Arabidopsis thaliana: one gene and its partners. The protein of the gene in region 2 interacts with the protein of the main gene of each other region in a pairwise test. Each region holds a gene or a part of one and is shown on either strand. Other genes may lie near its edges. The genes, in order: AT3G55290, AT1G51580, ECT1 and AT3G13224.

What was found.
Region 1: the proteins of AT1G51580 (region 2) and AT3G55290 interact in a two-hybrid assay, tested with the Arabidopsis thaliana proteins (one large-scale study listed by BioGRID).
Region 3: the proteins of AT1G51580 (region 2) and ECT1 interact in a two-hybrid assay, tested with the Arabidopsis thaliana proteins (one large-scale study listed by BioGRID).
Region 4: the proteins of AT1G51580 (region 2) and AT3G13224 interact in a two-hybrid assay, tested with the Arabidopsis thaliana proteins (one large-scale study listed by BioGRID).

What each region holds. Positions count from the first base shown.
Region 1 is NC_003074.8:20,500,867-20,504,392, reverse strand, and holds AT3G55290 (NAD(P)-binding Rossmann-fold superfamily protein), read right to left. Parts: upstream 1,886-3,526; 5' UTR 1,741-1,885; coding exon 1,723-1,740; intron 1,488-1,722; coding exon 663-1,487; 3' UTR 525-662; downstream 1-524. Other genes in the region: RPL23AB (ribosomal protein L23AB), read right to left, coding at 2,874-2,958, 3,030-3,393.
Region 2 is NC_003070.9:19,123,535-19,128,666, reverse strand, and holds AT1G51580 (RNA-binding KH domain-containing protein), read right to left. Parts: upstream 3,085-5,132; 5' UTR 3,056-3,084; coding exon 2,453-3,055; intron 2,372-2,452; coding exon 1,988-2,371; intron 1,912-1,987; coding exon 1,660-1,911; intron 1,572-1,659; coding exon 1,358-1,571; intron 1,267-1,357; coding exon 1,181-1,266; intron 1,097-1,180; coding exon 1,014-1,096; intron 889-1,013; coding exon 783-888; intron 703-782; coding exon 565-702; 3' UTR 506-564; downstream 1-505. Other genes in the region: MNS1 (alpha-mannosidase 1), read left to right, coding at 1-29, 134-352; AT1G51570 (Calcium-dependent lipid-binding (CaLB domain) plant phosphoribosyltransferase family protein), read left to right, coding at 3,979-5,132.
Region 3 is NC_003074.8:1,019,212-1,024,554, reverse strand, and holds ECT1 (evolutionarily conserved C-terminal region 1), read right to left. Parts: upstream 3,410-5,343; 5' UTR 3,054-3,409; coding exon 3,002-3,053; intron 2,645-3,001; coding exon 2,574-2,644; intron 2,403-2,573; coding exon 2,181-2,402; intron 2,033-2,180; coding exon 1,484-2,032; intron 1,400-1,483; coding exon 1,187-1,399; intron 1,066-1,186; coding exon 928-1,065; intron 830-927; coding exon 788-829; 3' UTR 540-787; downstream 1-539. Other genes in the region: AT3G03960 (TCP-1/cpn60 chaperonin family protein), read right to left, coding at 1-123. UniProt on the Arabidopsis thaliana protein: Specifically recognizes and binds N6-methyladenosine (m6A)-containing RNAs, and regulates mRNA stability. M6A is a modification present at internal sites of mRNAs and some non-coding RNAs and plays a role in mRNA stability and processing.
Region 4 is NC_003074.8:4,252,767-4,257,955, reverse strand, and holds AT3G13224 (RNA-binding (RRM/RBD/RNP motifs) family protein), read right to left. Parts: upstream 3,231-5,189; 5' UTR 3,109-3,230; coding exon 3,053-3,108; intron 2,967-3,052; exon of another isoform or gene 2,941-2,966; coding exon of another isoform or gene 2,912-2,940; coding exon 2,871-2,911; intron 2,736-2,870; coding exon 2,572-2,735; intron 2,471-2,571; coding exon 2,365-2,470; intron 2,271-2,364; coding exon 2,101-2,270; coding exon of another isoform or gene 1,942-2,100; exon of another isoform or gene 1,875-1,941; coding exon 1,335-1,874; 3' UTR 549-1,334; downstream 1-548. Other genes in the region: GIP1 (GBF-interacting protein 1), read left to right, coding at 3,750-3,927, 4,384-4,427, 4,546-4,612, 4,693-4,819, 4,901-5,154.

The DNA of each region.
Region 1 (3,526 bases), on a different chromosome or scaffold from region 2:
TCAAAACCAGATTCAGAAGCATTATTGGGTGATTTTAAGGGCAGATCAAACAATAAGGGAAATAAAAGGCCATGTACAGGAAGTTCAAGTGGAAATGGGAAATTCCAGTCAAGGCCAAGTAACAACACAAGTTGTTTTATCTGTGGAAAGGAAGATCACTGGAAAAGGGAATGCCCTCAAAGAAAGAAACATGCAGAATTGGCTAATATTGCAACTGAGCCTCCGCAACCTTTGGTGTTAACTGTGAGCACTCAAAGCACATGCAAAGAATGGGTTATGGACTCTGGTCGTACATTCCATAGTACATCCGATAGAGCTGTCTTGTTTGACTTCAAGAAATTCAAAGATAGAGCATAACAAAGAGATGATAGTCTCTAGCAAAACTGAAGACTATGGAAGGAGAAAAACCAGAAGTCTGTTTCAATCCCAAAAGTGAAATCACCGAGTGACGCATGATCAAATTAGATGATCCCGATTTTGTTAGCCACAACCAAAGCATCACAATCAGGAGGCTGTTTATTTTTCTGTCCTTTCTTTTTGTGTCTCTGCTGGTTTGTTATTGCAAATTTTTGACGATGTATGTAAATCTTAAAAAGTAGTAGAGAATGAGTAAATGTATTCACTTATTATTGCACAAGATAAGATATTATAAGGTTCGATTTTCAGAGAGATGAAAAGATAGGCACACCGGGCAATGTAGCACCGGAATCAACAATGTATGTATTCCCGGATATATATTGAGAAGAGTCATGAATGAGATAGCGAACCAGAGAAGTAAGCCCTGGATCAACGGTCTGTTGCACCTTTAACGGCACAGTCCTCTCGGTAACATTCTTGAGCCACTCCTTTTGCATAAGACCTTGTGTGATCTCTGACTTGAAAAGCCCCGGTGCGATCGAGTTCACTCTGATCTTATGAACACCTAACTCAAGTGCCATCATCCTTGACATGGTGTCAACACCGCCTTTGGAACAAGCATAAGCAAGTCCACCGGGCAACATACCCCGGATCCCGGCGATCGATGAGATGTTTATCACCGAGCCACCTCGTTTAGCGTCACGCATTAACATACAAACATGTTTGGATACTAACCAAGGACCCTTTAAGTTGGTCTTGAAGACGTTGTCCCATTCGTCCTCTGACAAATCCAAACTCGACTTGACATTGCCTCTGATTCCAGCATTGTTGATCAATGCATCGATCTTTCCAAAGATGTCCCAAGCTTCCCTGACCGCTTTTTGAATGGTGGCTGCGTCTGATGAAACGTCTAACTCAAGAGCTGCGGCTTGGATTCCAGTTGAACTGAAGCTGTTGATTTCAGAGCAGAGAGAGTTGAGTCGATCAACACGACGAGCTGCTGCAATAACCTGGCAACCAGCTTTGGCAAGATCAAGACAGATCTCTCTTCCAATACCAGAGGAAGCTCCTGTCACAAGAACCACTTTGTCTTTAAGTTCACACCATGGCTCCAATAGCTTCAACACCTGCTTTTCTCCCCCAAAAAAAAAACAAAATACAAAAATCAAGTAATTTCAGATTACAAAGACAAAAACACATGATTGACAATTTTTCCATATGGAATCATATGGTAAAGAAGATAACAGAAATCATATTTAAAGGTTAAAAGCATGGTAATTTGGAGAGTGGTCTTATATAAATGGTTATATGAATAGTTTTGAAGATAAAAAGAAAGATGGGAAATGAGAGAAAATGTTATCTCACAGTTTGATGATTGCTCATATTGTTTTCTCTGTGTGGTGTGTTCGATGGCCAATGGGGAAGGAGAAGCCAATAACATATAACATATATAAATACAAGTGTCAAAAAGATATAATCTGATCCATCTGCCAAAGACCGCGGTTCTAGAGATACCAAGTAGAACACGTCCCATAACAAAGGACGGTTTATGCCCAAATCTGTAGGGTCTAGGTCCTAATTAACACTTTAGTCTACTACATGTAAAGCCTACTTCATTACCAGATCGACAATTTAACGTGCCAATGTCTCGAAACTGATTCGTGGGAAACAATTTAGGTTTGATGATTTTATTTATTGTTATCTTTATTAATATATAGATACTCCATCTGTTCTTTTTTATTTGATTTTCTAAGAAAAATATTTGTTTCAAGAAGATTGATTTTTTAGATTTTTTTATACAATATTTATTAGTTATTACTGATAAATTATAAACTTTAATAAAAATAATTGAATATTATTGGTTTAAAATTATAGAAAATTGTAAAACACAAAAAAAATAATACATTTAAAATCAACTTTAATATATTTTTTTAATATATATATCTTTTTTTAGAAAATCAAACAAAAAGGAACAAAAGGAATATATGATTTCTTTTTTTTTTCTTTTTTTTCCAACTATCAATCAATGGTTCAATAATACCGACGTTAGTTCAATGATACCGACGTTTTCTGTCGTTTTCCGGCAACAAGCAACAATAATTCATTTAGTAAAAGTTTTTTACAACCACGAGTTTCTCGCGGATCGATTGTTTTGTTGATTAGATTGGGCTCCACAGACCACAGTGAACTTGTTCTGTACTTTGAAAGCATCTAAACAAAGAGATGGGTCCAATGGACCACTTGAATTTTGGGTTGGGTATTACTTATTAGTTATTTACGAAGGTACGATATAACCAGGTTAAACCGGGATTAGAGAGGTAGCATTAAGAATTGGAACACGATCTGAATAGAAACTATGACGCATCAACAAATACCAAACATATAATCTTTTTGAATCCAAAGATAAAAGCATAACAAAGAGATGGTGATAGTAATATCTTAACTTCTCTAGCAAAACTGAGACTATGGAAGAGAAAAACCAGAAAAAGTAAAATCACAGAGCGACAATGATCAGATTAGATGATCCCGATTTTGTTAGCCACATCCAAAGCATCATAATCAGGAGTCAACCTCACATACGCCTTCTTTGTTCCATCGGGCCTGCATACAAACATACACTCATCACTCCATGTTTACATAAACCCATATCTCAGTGAAGTTTTAGTGTTTACCTAATGAGGGTGTTGACTTTCTTGGTCTGAATGTCATACATCTTCTTGACAGCATCTTTGATCTTTTTCTTGTCAGCACGGATGTCAACAATGAAGACTAAGGTGTTGTTGTCTTCAATCTTTTTCATGGCAGATTCAGTAGTGAGAGGGTACTTGAGGATCTGGTAATGATCCAATTTGTTCCTTGGAGTAGCACTGATCTTTGGGTACTTAGGCTTTCTAGGAACGGTCAATGTCTTTGGCCTGTGGAAAGTAACCTTTGTCCTGATCTTCTTCGCAGGCTTTTTAACGATTTGGCCAGATTTCACTGCTTTCGCAGCTTTCAAAGCCTTAGCCTTAGGGTCGGCTTTCTTGGTGACATCAACTGCAAAAATAATGGAACATTAAACCATTTACACTACTGGTAACAAATCTCATTCAAGGAAAGTTTGATCATTGGCAAATAACAGACAAACAAGCACATAATCAGATGAATCCATAACAGAGTAGGTACGAGC
Region 2 (5,132 bases):
TAGAATCTGGATATGTAGGCTTGAAGGATGTAAGTTTCGAGCCGGGCTGACCTTAACCAATCAGATACCCTCCTCGAGTGGGCCTTTCCATCTTTCGGAAACACGTTGTTAACGTTTGCTTCTTCATTTTCAGGTCAATACAGGTGCTAAAGACAACAAGATGCAAAGCTTCTTCTTAGCTGAGACTCTTAAGTATCTATATCTTCTCTTTTCGCCTTCATCTGTTATTTCATTAGACGAGTGGGTTTTCAACACAGAAGCCCATCCGCTTAAGATTGTGGCACGGAATGATCCGCGTAAGCCAACTATAGCACTACGCCAGAGGAAGTTTGGTCATCAGATTAACGTTTAGTAGACAGTTTCTGCTCAAATGGAATTTGATATTATTATATATTACCACAAAGTTTGAGGCACATTGTTGTATCAGTTTAAAGAACAGATGGACAACGTTTTTGCCACAGCAATTTGTAGAGGTACTTTACTGTTTCCTATGATTTTTGGATTTGTAGAAGAGCTTTTTTTTACTATCATGTTAAAATTGTACACACTTTGAAAAGAGAGCAATCAAGATTGACCACAGAGAATAAAAGCATGAAGAAGGCTTTGAGCAAAGTGAGCTTGATCCGATGTGCCTGAGACAACCACCAGTCCTTCTGTAGTCCCTGCCTTTGGATCATGCACAACCACATTCGCTCCTGATACCTAGTTGATTAGGTTTACAAACGGTAATCAGATGCAGCCTTTCAAAATGACCAGCTGCTCATATATTATCGGCAACATACCTGTTTGATGTAATTCAGGTTACTGCAGTTCTCACCATAGACATGACCTAAGTATGCTTGAGGAATCACAATCTCCACATTTGCACTTGTCATTACTGGATTCTCGCTGCCAACACCATAACCAAAAGGCAATAATGTGAAATTAGTGGATAAAATTCCTTCGTACAGTTTCTGGCATTTCAAAGTCATTTAGTTTTAAAGTGAACAAAGACAGCGCCGGGAAAGTGATACCTGCCAATGGGCTCATTTCTCAAAGCAAATCCATGGTTCACATCAGGAGGAACCATACCACCGGGATGGCCATCGATTCCCGGCTGGCGATTGAGAAATGTTGAATTAGAAAGAAATAAAAGGACATGACAGCTAACGAAGGAATAAAGATCATTGAGTTCACATACCTGCGGGGTCCAAGACATTGGGGAAGGTGGCCTGTCAAATCCAGGACCAGGTGGCCTATCAAATCCAGGACCATGACAATGCCTCTCTGTATCATATGTAACAAGTAGACATTATTAAGAAACTGAGATTGATGCATGTATCAACTGGTGATCATGGGTCGGAAATTGATGAAATACCATGGAATGGTCCTACTGGAGAATGGTAACGATCTGGAGAAGCTGGATATTGTCTCGGTCCAAATGGGGGAGGCGGTTCTGGATACGGACCCATGAACGGCGGAGGTGGACCACCCATTCCTTGAAAAGGAAGTCTTCCAGGAAACATTGCTTCCCGAAGCCTACATAATATTTGGAACAAAGCATCTTGAACAGTTTTCAAATTACCAATGACCTGCCAATCCAGCAAAAAGGTGTCAAATAACAAGAAAACTACAGAGTTGAAAAACTTATCGAGGCCGCGGATGTTATATAAAATTTACCTGAACAATCTCATCATGTTGTGATTCATACTTTGTAGCTTGATCTTTCGCAAAGACGCGGATGCTAGCACCAGTTGCTCTCCTCATTTCACTTATCAAATGACCCCCTTTACCCAATAGACGTCCGATATATGGAGAATGTACAAGAAGCCGGGCAACAACAGCAGCACTAGGTTCAAATCCAATCTCAACAATTCTATTATGCACACGCATCACACCATCTTGGGCAAGAGAGTGCCTTCTCTCCAAGTTCTACAACAATGTAAACCAATGAGACAAAGTATCCAATGATATACATAAACCAAATCCATGGAGCAAATCAACATACCTCTCGTGCCGATATCACAATAATCCGCTCCTCTGAATCATGAGTTGGATCCGAAACCTTGATTGACGCACCGCTTTCGTTTTGCAGAGCTCGCACCACAGCTCCACCTTTCCCAATCAAGCTTCCAACTTTATCAGCCGGGCATAACAACCTGAACGCAACCTCCTCTTCAACAACCGGTCTATTAAAGGGTCCAACATCTTCAGGCATTGGATTAGGAGGAGGATGATCCCATTGAGGATGATACTCCATAGAATGATACTCAGGCGGATAACCAGGCTGCGGAAACGGACACTCGTCCCATGTTGGAGGTGCACCACTTTCTTGAAGACAGTTTGTAACCAACAAAAGCGCCTTCTTCACACTCGAAAACTTTCCATTCATCTTCATACAAAAACATTACTAAATCAGCCAAAAAAGCTCTATAAATTGAATAGCCACAAAGACACAAGAAGCTGTGTATACCTGAATCACAACATCTCCAGGGAAAGCACAAGGAGGAATCTGATCAGTAGATGAGATCCTAACAATAGCTCCACTATCTTCTCTAATCTTCTGAATCATCTTCCCTCCTTTACTCATCAAGTAATCTACTTGATTACCTCTAACAATCATCCTACACAAACCTTCACTCTCACCTTTATCCAATTCATCACCATCAACCGTAGCAGCGTCATCGCCAAACACTATTCTTTCGAAAACCCTAAGTAAAGCCATCTGCGCCGACGACGGCGCTTCCTCGTCATCTCCACCACTAGTCCCCGCACACTCGCTCCCTTTCTCTTGCTTAGGCTCTTCAGAGCCAGGGTTTTCGGAATCACACACATTCGATTCGTCCTTCTTCTTTCCACTAGGTGCGATTATCAACACTACACGCTCTTCTGAAGGAACGGGAATATCATCGATGACGCGGATTTTTGAACCGGTTACAGATTGGAGGTGTCGAATGACTGAGCCGCCTTTTCCGATTATTGCACCAGTTCTTGTTGCCGGACAGAGAAGACGGAAATGTACAGACTCCGCCGCCGTCGCTGTCGTCGCCGGACGTTTTGAGGTAGAGAACTCCATTAGTCGAATAAGCTTAACAACGTCGTTTTGAGTTTAACTCAAAGGCTCTTAAATGTTTTAAAATCTGTTTTATAAAATACCACTAAACTATGTTTTTTCTCTTTTCCAAAAATATTTTAATGAGTTTATTTTTTCGAAAATACTACAACAAAAATTTTGTTCCAAATTTATTACAAACACCAAAATTAATTTTTCAAGGTTTATAATTTAAACTTTTGAGTTTAGAATTTGTTGTTAGGATTTAGAGTTTATTTTTACGGTTTAGGATTTAGTTTTGAAAGTTTAAAATCTAGTTTTTGTTTTGTGGTATGTTTTGAGAAAAAAACTAGTGACAGTATTTGTGGAACAATAATACTCAATTTAGGTATTTTTGAGAATTGCCATAGTATGTGAGACTTTTGAGTATTATTTGAAATAAAAGTTCTATTCATATTTTCGTACTTAAAAAAGGAGAGAAAGAAATAAAAATTTATATTGTGTAGTCCTTTTCAAATCAAATTTCATGATTATGAAGAAAATGTTTTTCACTTATTGGCCTTTTTTTTTTTCTTTCTGCCAACTCATAAAATCATTTTGAATTTAAAACAAAAATCGAAAAGAGCAAAAAAAAAAAAAGCAAAAGGAAGAAGAAGACAAGAAAACCTTCACCACTCTACTTCAATGTGTTTTACTTTTCTCTCACTACAGTCCTTTCTCTCTATCTCTTTCTAAAACTCTCTCAATGCTTATCTTCTGATTTTACGAGGAAGAAGAAGAAAGGATTCTTCTTTACTTCTTTCTTTTTTTGGGGGTTTAATGTTAAGCAGATTCTGAGATTTCTGGTGTAAATCGTTTTCTGGGGTTGTTTGTTTGTTTTGAAGATCTAACTTATAGATCTAGTGTTTCTGAAAGAAGAAAAAATCCAAACTTTACTAGTTTCAAAGATGCAGAGACCACCTCCTGAAGATTTCTCCTTAAAGGAGACAAAACCTCATCTCGGTGGAGGCAAAGTCACCGGAGATAAGCTCACAACCACATATGACCTCGTCGAGCAAATGCAGTATCTCTATGTTCGTGTCGTAAAGGCTAAAGAATTACCAGGTAAAGACTTAACTGGTAGTTGTGACCCTTACGTTGAAGTTAAGCTTGGTAACTACAGAGGAACCACTAGACATTTCGAGAAGAAATCTAATCCTGAGTGGAACCAAGTTTTCGCCTTTTCTAAAGATAGGGTACAAGCTTCTTATCTTGAAGCTACTGTCAAGGATAAAGATTTAGTTAAAGATGATTTGATTGGTCGTGTTGTGTTTGATTTGAATGAGATACCTAAGAGAGTTCCTCCTGATAGTCCTTTAGCTCCACAATGGTATAGATTAGAAGATGGGAAAGGCCAAAAAGTTAAAGGAGAGCTTATGTTAGCTGTTTGGTTTGGTACTCAAGCTGATGAAGCTTTTCCTGAAGCTTGGCACTCTGATGCTGCAACTGTTAGTGGAACTGATGCTTTAGCTAACATCAGATCTAAGGTTTATCTCTCTCCTAAGCTTTGGTATCTTAGGGTTAATGTCATTGAAGCTCAGGATTTGATACCGAGCGATAAAGGGAGATATCCTGAAGTCTTTGTGAAAGTGATAATGGGAAATCAGGCATTGAGGACTAGAGTGTCACAAAGCAGGAGTATTAATCCGATGTGGAATGAGGATTTGATGTTTGTTGTAGCTGAGCCGTTTGAAGAGCCTTTGATTCTAAGTGTGGAAGATAGAGTTGCGCCGAATAAAGATGAAGTCTTGGGGAGATGCGCGGTTCCGTTGCAGTATTTGGACAAAAGGTTTGACTATAGACCGGTGAACAGCAGGTGGTTTAACCTTGAGAAGCATGTTATAATGGAAGGAGGAGAGAAGAAAGAGATCAAATTCGCCAGCAAGATCCACATGAGGATTTGTTTGGAAGGAGGGTATCATGTGCTTGATGAGTCTACACATTACAGTAGTGACCTAAGACCAACTGCAAAGCAACTGTGGAAGCCTAACATCGGTGTGCTTGAGCTAGGGGTCTTAAATGCGACCGGTTTAATGCCCATGAAAGCTAAAGAAGGTGGTAG
Region 3 (5,343 bases), on a different chromosome or scaffold from region 2:
GGTGGAGAGCTCCTTGCAAGCTTCAATGTTCTTAATGACGGCTTCGTCGAGACCAGAGAGATGCCTGTAACCTTCTTTAAGCATCGATTGAATACCATATGGCTGCATCGACATACCCACCATTTTCTAAGGTAACGATCTATAAGCTTCGAAGTTGGGTCACTCGAAACAATAGAGCAAAAACCCTAAAAGCGAAGAAGAAGAAGCTCTGTGAGATTTTCGAAGAAGTTTAGAGAGAAGGTTTTCTGTGAGTAAAAGTGGCCGAGATTGCCCTAGAAAACTTTCGAGGTTTTAAAATGGGAGTTCACAACGGTGTCGTTTTAAATTTTAAGGGGATGGGGGCCAAAAATTGAGATCTTAAATCTTTAGGGGTGAAAGTTGTATTATATGAAAGTTTAGGGACGAATAGAGAACACCATTCCTTCTGGTTTTTGTGCTAAACGGTGTCGTTTTAACTTTTATGGTGATGTGGGCCAAAATGTGAGATTTTTGACATTTACGGATGAGAGTCTTATTATATGAAAGTTTAGGGACTAAAAGAGAAATAACTTGAAAATAACATGATATGAACTTTGAAGGAAAGCCTGAGTTTTTGTTTTATCAGATGTGCGTCCCCTTAAGAGGAACAAAAGACAATGTAAGTTTTGTTTAGATAAGCAGAGAAAACACACAGATTAAAGATGTGTATTAGGTTTTTAGAAATCCCAACCCTGAAGAAAAAACATAATTCAAAACTAAGTTCTTTTAATTAAGTCATCTTCTTCTTTCCTTGCATTGATTCCATCTTTCAACTCAAGTTAATTGTTTCCCCCGAAGCTCCATCAAGGGCCTAATATAACAAAACAATCAAAATGAAACAATCCCAGAGACTGTATCAAGAGGGGTGGTTAATGTGCTTTAGATGCAGCAGGGTTTAAGGAATTGTACCTGTTTCTTTTGCTTGATCTTCTTGTCTCTGATGATCTTCTGCCTTGTCTCATAGAACTTGTAATCATCAAGTATACATGTCTTGCTCATATACTCCTTGAAGATCTTTATGATCTTGGTCCCATGCTCCAGATTCACCTGTACCAAAACCATCACCGTACAGTTTAAAAGCCTGACTAACAGCCATAATCATTATTTATTAGAATTCAATTAGGCTTCAAACATGTCCAAGAAAGGGTTTAGGGGAAGTTCAACGGACCTCTTGAGTGTCTCTGCTATTAGTGACAGGCTTGTTCTCGTTATTCGCCAGGGTAATGTGTCTTAAGAGACTGTTTGGTATGTCTTTGATGATATGCCACTTCACAGGGAAACAACCAATCCATTTATCTTGCTGCCAATACTCCATTGTCTTGTTGAAATCAACAGGGCCTACCATCTCCGCAAGACCAACAAATTGCCCACTTGCATTCACCTGTAGATAAAACCGATTACAGTGAGTTACTTAATGTAAATCTGAAAGGATATTGCACAAGACGTGAAGTAACCTCATACTGACCGAGAACAGAAGATACACAGGGCATTCTTGGGAGTTTTCTTTGGCTTCATAATATGCAGCATTCAACTTCTTGTTGCCAGTTGGTGTGCTCGACCATGCACCATACTTAATACAGTTATGAACATCATCTTCGCTGTATGACTTGATCACAAAGAATTTTGCTTTCACAAATGATTCAGGGAAATTCTCCCCATTGTAGCGCTGGAGATCTACTGCTGAAACGTCTTGCTTCATTGCATCTAGCATTGAAGAGTTAAGAACTTGTGGATTCTTGAAATCACTACTCCTTGGTCCTCGACATAGCTCATTAAGCCTATCTGCTTTCTCATCACTGTAACCACGCCCATGATTGAAGCTTCTGGTCTTTCTATAACCATCAACGGGATACCATCCTCGCCCAAGTTTCCAGGAATCATAACCAAAAGTTCCATATGCATGACCAGAGTCAATTACATTCCCGTAAAGTCCATACAATCCATGGTTGGAATACAAATGATCATTATATCCCAATTGGTCAAAACTTGGTACTTCTTGTGAGCTGTGTGGATTCTGTTAAATAAAACAGTTGTAGCCAGTAATTAGACAAAAAAAAAATCCCAAGTCCCAGCAGAGATGACGAAGAGAACAAAACACACATTCTCTTGACTATATGAAGACAGAAAAGAGGCAGAGAGGTCATGTGAAGTAACCAACATACCATGAGATGTGAAAAGGAACTGTGATTGCTGTTGCGGTCATAACCAAACCTCGGATCAGGGTAGCCACCAGAAGGATAGTTTGCTGGGATGTAACCCCACGGGTATGAACCAATCGAGTCTCCACCATTTAGCAGATTGCCAGCATTCATGTTTGGCCTTCTTTCACTTCCATGAGAAGATGCACCATAAGGTGCATGACCATACGGATGCTGAAAAGAACCCTTCTCAGAAAACAGTCAGTTAACAAAAAAAAAACTCACAGTATATCAAATTCACATTAAATGAGCAGCAAGACCTCTCCACAGAACAGTTTGTAGTTAAAGATCCTTCGACACAACACAATTTAAGTTCCAAAAACTTTAAATTTTCAAAAAGAAGTAGTAATTAAGTACCTTAGTAAAGTTCATAGGAACTTCATTTGCATCTGAACCTAAAGACAAGTCCTGAAACAAATCTGCTGTATCTGCAGCGATTATATACAAGAGCCCAGTTAATATTTTAAAATGACAAAGCCTCAAACTCCAATTGCACAGTCTAAACAAGGCAAATTACTGGTGAAATTCAACCCATAAGCAGATAAAAAAACACTAACTTGCAGAAAAACACAAAATTTCATCTAGCATCCCATAAAGAGGTTTGTAGAGAACTCTAGACACCAATCAATCCTATCAGAAACAGAAAACCTACGACAGATACTGATAACACTAGTCGCTAAACCCTAAACCCAAGGGTAGAAATCAATCGCAAGTTATAAGATGAGCACAAAATGATAACTTCCGATGCCAAAAAAGTTTTAATCTTTGAGCTAAAAGCAACGTACCCAGAAGAGGGAAGCTAGTGACGAGACGATCAGAAGAAGCGGCTCCAGCCATATCGAGAGAAGGCAAAAAAAAGGGATAAGCTTTAAGAGAAGGAAAACCCTAGAAGGTTGGGCAGATGAAAGCAAACGCAACCTCGAAAAACCCAGAGAGAGAGAGCGCTTTTGGTGTGTGGGGGGTTTTAGAAAGTTCCGTTCTTTTTTGTTTTCTTCGTCTTCCTTCCCCTTTAACGTAAGGCGGTGATCTTTAACAAAGAACAGAAATGCCCCCAAATGGGTCAAATTTACGAGGAATTCTAAGCGACAAATTTCGATTTTTTTGCTCCTTTAACCCAAAAAGATAAGGCTCCTCTTCTTAATGACGATTTTTCGTCACACGAGAAGATTCTGAAAATTTGACGTTGATTGCTTTTATTAGTGAGACCTCTTTTTCTTCTTAACTTAAAATCAATATAGCGAATCAGTAAAGCTTAACTACACTTTTAGGACTTTTGCTTAAGAGAAATTATCATGAATTCCATTTGTTTAGGAAGTACTAACCATGGTGATGTTTGTTAATTGTAACATACACATACAAAAGGAGTGGTGGTTGGGATATATTAAAACTTTGCTAATCATTCGCGAGAAATTTACAAATATGGTTTTCATATTGACAACATTAAAATATGAAAATCCGTTAATTTTGAATTCAACTCAAGAAAACTTTTACAAATTTTAGGCCAAAAATTATATATAAAATGATCGGTCGCAAACATGGGTTTTCTTGGCTAGGACAAAAAATTGAGTGTGTATGTGATTAGACTCCGTAAGCTAATCAACACACCATATCTATCGGTATCGCATCTAAAATTATTCCTTCATTGCACATATGTAAAAGGGATGATGCTTCATAAACGAGTCTTAGATGGCTTCAAAGATGATTCCAAGGGGATACGAACCTTATGTTAGGCATCGATCCATAATTTTGCTTCTTACCTAAACTTCTATAAAAAAAGAAAGGTAGGCCTTGAACTGGTGATATATTTTAATTTCTGTGGATTTTCTAACATAAGTAGGTGTATGAGAAAAATAAAATCTTAGGTTGATTTGTGGGGTTACTAGTATTGTGGTCTCACATACAACAAAAATAGTAGACAAATTCAAGTCATGTTTAAAATAATAATTAATTCAAATTATTTATGGTGAATTGGAAAACGTTTTTTAAATTTTTATATAAATAAACTCAAAATCTTTAGAGTTTGGTTTCTGCTATGTATAGCTTTTCAAAAGTTATTTAACTTGTGCTCGTGATGGATTCTCAAATATAAATAGCATTAAATTATTTTTGGCAAACATCACATGGAGTTGCACAAAACTGATCAATATGTTTATCCTTTGTCTCACATGTTCTCTCATTCATTAGTTGTATGAGGCGGTAAGGACAACATCATCCTCAAGGCCGGAAAAAACTCAAAAACATTCCCAACAACTTAATTCCACATACAGTATATGCACCATTAAATTGGTGTTAGATGCAACAATTTTATTTTTGCAACCAGATTTTTAACCACTTTAAAAACACTCACTAGAGAAGAAATATATATAAGATATTAAGTAAACACATGATAACTTTGAAGTCTTTCTATGCCATCTCACTCGACTGATATTAGAGTTAAATATATTTATTCTAAGCATGTTTTAAATAATTTGATTGCCTAGAATTTATAGCCAAACAATATGAAATGTACTTGAATCTTACGTTTTTTTTTTAATAATCACTTGACATATTAATTCCAAATCATTGACTTCTAATACAAATATACAAAGCCATTATGCATACAGCGCGATGTGCTTCACCGATCTCCATGAATTAATGGATTTTGTGACATACGATTTGTTGTCAACAAAAAGAAACAAGTTCCTCTTTCTTTTTTTTCATTGTTTCAAAACAAATCGAGTGAAAATTTATGTGATAAATGTGCTTACACGTATGACATAACAAAGCATTTTCTTAATTAAGTTTTCTTCATATAACATTTTAGAATATTTCTATGAACAAATATCTGTACAAAAAAAAAGGCACGCGAGGAACCCAAAGCGGAACAGCGATAGCCAATAAGTAGCATCTGCGATTAGGGATGATGAGCACAGAGAACAAAAAAAAGTTAACGTTGCAAAAATGATTTTTTTTAAAAAGAGAAAAATTAATTAGTGTTAAATTCTCAAAATATTATTATTAGTAATATTTTTTACGTAGAAAAAAATATCGAAAAAAGTGAATCAATCCTTCCCCCAAGAAACAAAAAAAAAAACTTACTTTTTTTTGCCAAAACTCAAAAATCTCTTTACAAAAATTGCAACCTCTT
Region 4 (5,189 bases), on a different chromosome or scaffold from region 2:
AAAAAATAGTCGGAATTGTGAAACTGGTGAAAGAAAAAAAGATTTGTAGAGTTATAAAAGAGAAGTTAATGTAAACATTATGTATCTAAAAATAGTGATTTTCCTTTGTGTCCTTTCTTTGCGGTTCTGAATATCCGAGGTTGTCGTTTTCTTTGCAGTAAAATCGTCAATTAAATAGAGAGATTTGGAATCGACCAAACAAAATATATGGAGATTTTGGAAAATCGTTTTTGCATTTCAAAAATAGATAGAATGGATTTCAGAACTTAAAATTCTAGGTGTAAAAACAATACGTTCGTTTACACTTTACTCTACTGCTAAGATCGGCCTTAAAGCATTGAGATTAAAATCATGTTTACACTTTACACCTTCGTTTTAATCACTAATTAAGATTATCAACTATGATTGGGTAGACCTTTTATGTATTATGTATTTTTGTCAACTCTTTTTAATGTGTCGTACGTGTGACACATTCGTCGTCATAAATTTTTGAAAACTTTGTCTTAGAATTGTCTCTTTGCTGTTTGTATCATTCAATCCTTGCACTTAAAACGTAAAAGAGTTTGGATTTCAATTAACTTATAAAAGCATGTACAATAAGTGATATTCATTTAATGATACAGTACATCATTTTGACGAGAAATTACAGATAACAAAACCCACATTATTAGAACCAATGTCTAACCAATTATCCGTGGCCCTTACCCGAAAAAATAAGGAAACAAGAACCAAATAACCATGCTTGTATAGATGATTTTCAAAAACATTTATAATTGATTTTACGTTTTCAAACACATACAATTCCAATTTGTAGCTAGAACCTACGTATGCAGCTGACAAAAATATGCCTACTTACACATGCACTAACTGCCGTCAAACCTTTGTTCAGCACAACAAAATGTACAGAGATACAAGAGACCACATAAAGCATTCAACTTGAGCTCTAAAGAATAGATGAGTGCACATTTTGCAGAGCTTCTTAAGCTAATTCGTATGATTGTGAAAACTAAGCTAAGCGAGTAATTGATCATCTAACAAGACTACCAAATGATAAATCATTCTTGTGCCAGTGAGAAACAAACTCCAAGCCCAAATATGCTAAAGTCTACATAACACAATCTAAGTTATAGAGATAAGACAACACTTAAATTAGGTAAACACACAACTAAAAGATGACTAATAAAAGCTTTTTGATGCTCTTCCTGTCCTTAGCAACCCTTCCTGATGTTGGCGCTACATGATAACTCTAGAATGCACCTAGAGCAATTGGAACAATCTAGAGGAACCTGTGAGAGAAGCTTCTATAGCTCCAACTGATTGCTATTACCTCGACCCTACCTTGCATACGGATGGTATCGACTACTGCTACTATAACCCCTCCCATATGGACCACCTGCTCCTTCATAACTGCCACCTGGGCCACCAGATTCATATGCACCGCCGTAACCAGGCCCACCATATCCCCCATAGCCTTCCCCTCCTCCACGAGGATATCCCAAATAGGCTCCTTCTCCTCCACGGCCATATCCCTCACCACCAAACCCACTCCCATAGGGTCCAAAACGACTAGAATAGCCAAGGGGTGGTTCATTCCGGTAACCTCCTAAACTACCACCCCCATAATTATTATAACCTCCTCCAAATTCAGGGCCTACACTGCCACGACCATACCCATATCCCCCAGCATATCTACTAGCAGGACCTCCATGTGACCTAATGGGACCTGGAGGATGACCATACCCTCCATCAAAACCTCCGTAAGGTCCACCATAACTTGCATAACTATCGTTAGAAGAACGACCTCTAGGGTGACTACCGTAAGAAGGAGGTGAACGGTTTAGAGATTTCTTTGGTTCAGCTTTCTTGATCTCCACCTACAACAAAGCAACTTAATTAACCTAGCTATGCTAAGGACCCAAACTATAGCAGGGATTTCCTATCTTACTGTGACAAGCTCCTTACATTTGGTAAGCTAGTGGGTAGAATTCTAACTAAGTTAAACGTGTATAATGAAAGGAACAAGGAGAAAATATCAAATTGAAACCAAGATAAATATGTCATCATGAACCAAAATTCTAATCCCCATTTGTACAAGCTTACCTGAGTGTCTGCCATATCGATCATGTTTCCTTTGGACAATAATTCATCTACGACTTCTTCGCTATCAAAAATTACAAAACCAAAACCTCTGGACCTGTTTGTTTCATGGTCTCGAATAACCTGGTGCTCCACCACGTTCCCATACTTGGCAAAGAAGTCCTTAAGTTCATCTGATCAACAGAAAAAGAAACCAACTTCAATAAGGACAGGAAACCAGCATTCTCATGGAAAGCAAAAAAATATCATGCCAAGAGGGAGGTCTACCTTCTGTAACCGTTGAGGGTATACCACCAACGAAAATCTTCTTTGTTTTGATGTCCTTTGACTGATTGCCACCAGCACCTTTCGGAATAGTCCTTTTGATCTCAACCTGTTCCATCAAAACAAGGAAAAAAGTATTGATCAAGACCCAACACCCTACTAAAAATGAACACTATAAGCTAGTGAAGGAAGAAAAGAGAAGTGGCCGACCTGTTTGCCATTGATGACATGAGTATCTTCGATAACTTTGTCAACAACAGAAGGGTCAGCGAAGGTGATGAAACCGAAACCCCTAGGTTGTCCAGTATGTCGATCTCGCATAATGACAGAATCTGTAATCTCCCCGTACTTGCCAAAGTGCTTATTGAACACAGCTGCAATCAAAACCAAAGTGAGCAAGTAGAATCAACATTCCAACAGGTCTAACATCAGAAACACACACAAGAATCCATAACATAACAAAACTTAGAAACGCAATTTCTAGAACAAAACAAGAGGAAGAAACTTACTATTAGTCGTGTCTTTGTGCAATCCTCCAATGAATATTTTCCTGCAACACAAAAATTCCAAGCAAAACATAAATTAAACCTTAACCAACAATATAAAAAGAGTTACAAAGCCAACAGATTATGAGATATTTCCCTTAATCCTGTGGAATCAAACATGCAAGAGGTAGGAGAAGTAAACGTACCCAGGACTAGCGCCATCGCCGGACTGGAAATTATCATTACGAGATCTGGAACCCATCGCAGCTCCTAAATTCAGTTTTCGATTGAGCTAAAGGATCGAGAGAGACACCGAAAGCTAGGGTTTTGATAAGATCTGATGTCTCTTCATCTAATTAGAGGAGATAGCTAAATCGTGTAATATATATATATTCTTAAATTTGGACATCGACTTGTGGAAACAAAACAAAGTTAATATTTTTTTACACAGCTGTCTATTTTTCCTATTCTTGTAAAAAGACAAAAAAAAAAAAAGTAAATTGTTGACAGTGGGATTTGAACCCACGCCCTTTCGGACCAGAACCTTAATCTGGCGCCTTAGACCAACTCGGCCATATCAACTTTGTTGTCTCTCCTTCCATTAAACGCGTACAAAACAATCAAATAATGAGGAGGAAATCGATAAACAGTGACGTCAGCGTATAAATATACGTAGAGAGAGACATTAAGCGGTAGATTGTACGGAAATAAATAATAGTACTCAATCAAATAATGAGGAGGAAATTGATAAACAGTGACGTCAGCGTATAAATATACGTAGAGAGAGACATTAAGCGGTAGATTGTACGGAAATAAATAATAGTACTATATACGAAGTCTTTATGTTCAACCCATATTTCCTCTCTCCTCCTCCCTCCGCTTCTCTTTCTCTCTGTAACCAACATGAGCAGGATCAGCGGCGATGGCGGCTCTAGGGTTTCTATTCCGGCTGATCTGCTTCAAACCATTCAAAACATCAGAGAGGTTACCGGTAAACAACATTCCGACGAGGATATCTTCTCTGTCTTTAAGGAGTGTTTCAGTGATCCACATGAGACCACTCAGAAGCTTCTCTATTTAGGTTGTTTTACTGAGAAAGCTTCAGCATTTGTTTTTGTTTTAGTGTTTTTACTTCCTTTTTGTTGTATTGAGCGTGTGCTTCTCCTAGGGTTTTGTTTTGGATTTTGCTATTTAATGCCCTTTGTCGATTTTGGTCTTGTCTTAGAATCTGTGTGTTATGCTTAGAATCTTATGTTTTGTTTATTTAGATTTCTAATTGGTATAATATGTCTGGGGATGTTCAAATAAGGAATCTTTTTTACTGAAATGGAATATGTAGAATTTGGGTTCATGACTAAGAAACTGTCGTTTTAAATCTTTACCAATCTAGCTGGAATGTGGAAAGGGAATTTCTGTTTAGCTTTGATTGAGATTGGGCATCTGGGTTAAGTTTTGATTCTGTCTACTGTTTCAAGATCAACATAATCATGTACTTTGATAGCAGACATGTACTCATATATTATTACTGATCTTTCAGATACATTTCATGAGGTGAGAAGCAAACGGGAGAGAAAGAAAGAGGTAGCTTTCCTATGTTCTTTTGAATCCTTACTTTGCATTTTAAGTGTGGTCTTGAGTTCTCTGTTTAGCTTACATCATCTCGTTTCTCTTATGCCTTTATGTGTATTACCTGTTGTAGAATTTAGTGCCAAATACACAAGGAAGGGGCCGGACTGGACGGAAGAACTTTGCTTCAAGTTACACAGGTCATTGTGGTTTATGTTCTTTTACTTCTAAACTTGTGTTCTATATTTCCTTCCTTGATTCAAGCTCTTTGTTGATTCAGATGCCAGTAATGGAAGAAGTGCAGCTTTTAAAAAGCAGAGTGGAGCTAATCACATAATAGGAGGTTCTGGAACTGCTTCGTCTGCTCCTAACAATGCAAGAAACGACACAAAACCTTCTTCCATAATGTATCCATACTTTTAATTCTGTCTATGTCTTTAATTCCCTCTTTGGATATGGGCTTCCTAACGCATTCTATTCTTTTTCAGGGCCCCGAACCCTATAAGTCTTCCAAGTGGAATCAGTAACCAGAAAATTCAAGATGCTATCATATCCCCTGTGGACAAGGTGGACACAGAGGAACAGCCTCTCTCCAAGGCTACTTCTTCTTCTAAGGATGTTGTTGAGCCGGATAAGTCTAAAGAAAGTAGTGTATCAGTGGCTGTATCAGATTCTGTTGTAGAAAACGATACTCAATATGCTGTAGTTGAAACTTTTCAGATCCCACAACAGTCCGAGCGAGGTATAAATTATACCATATAATTACTTGCCTGCTAA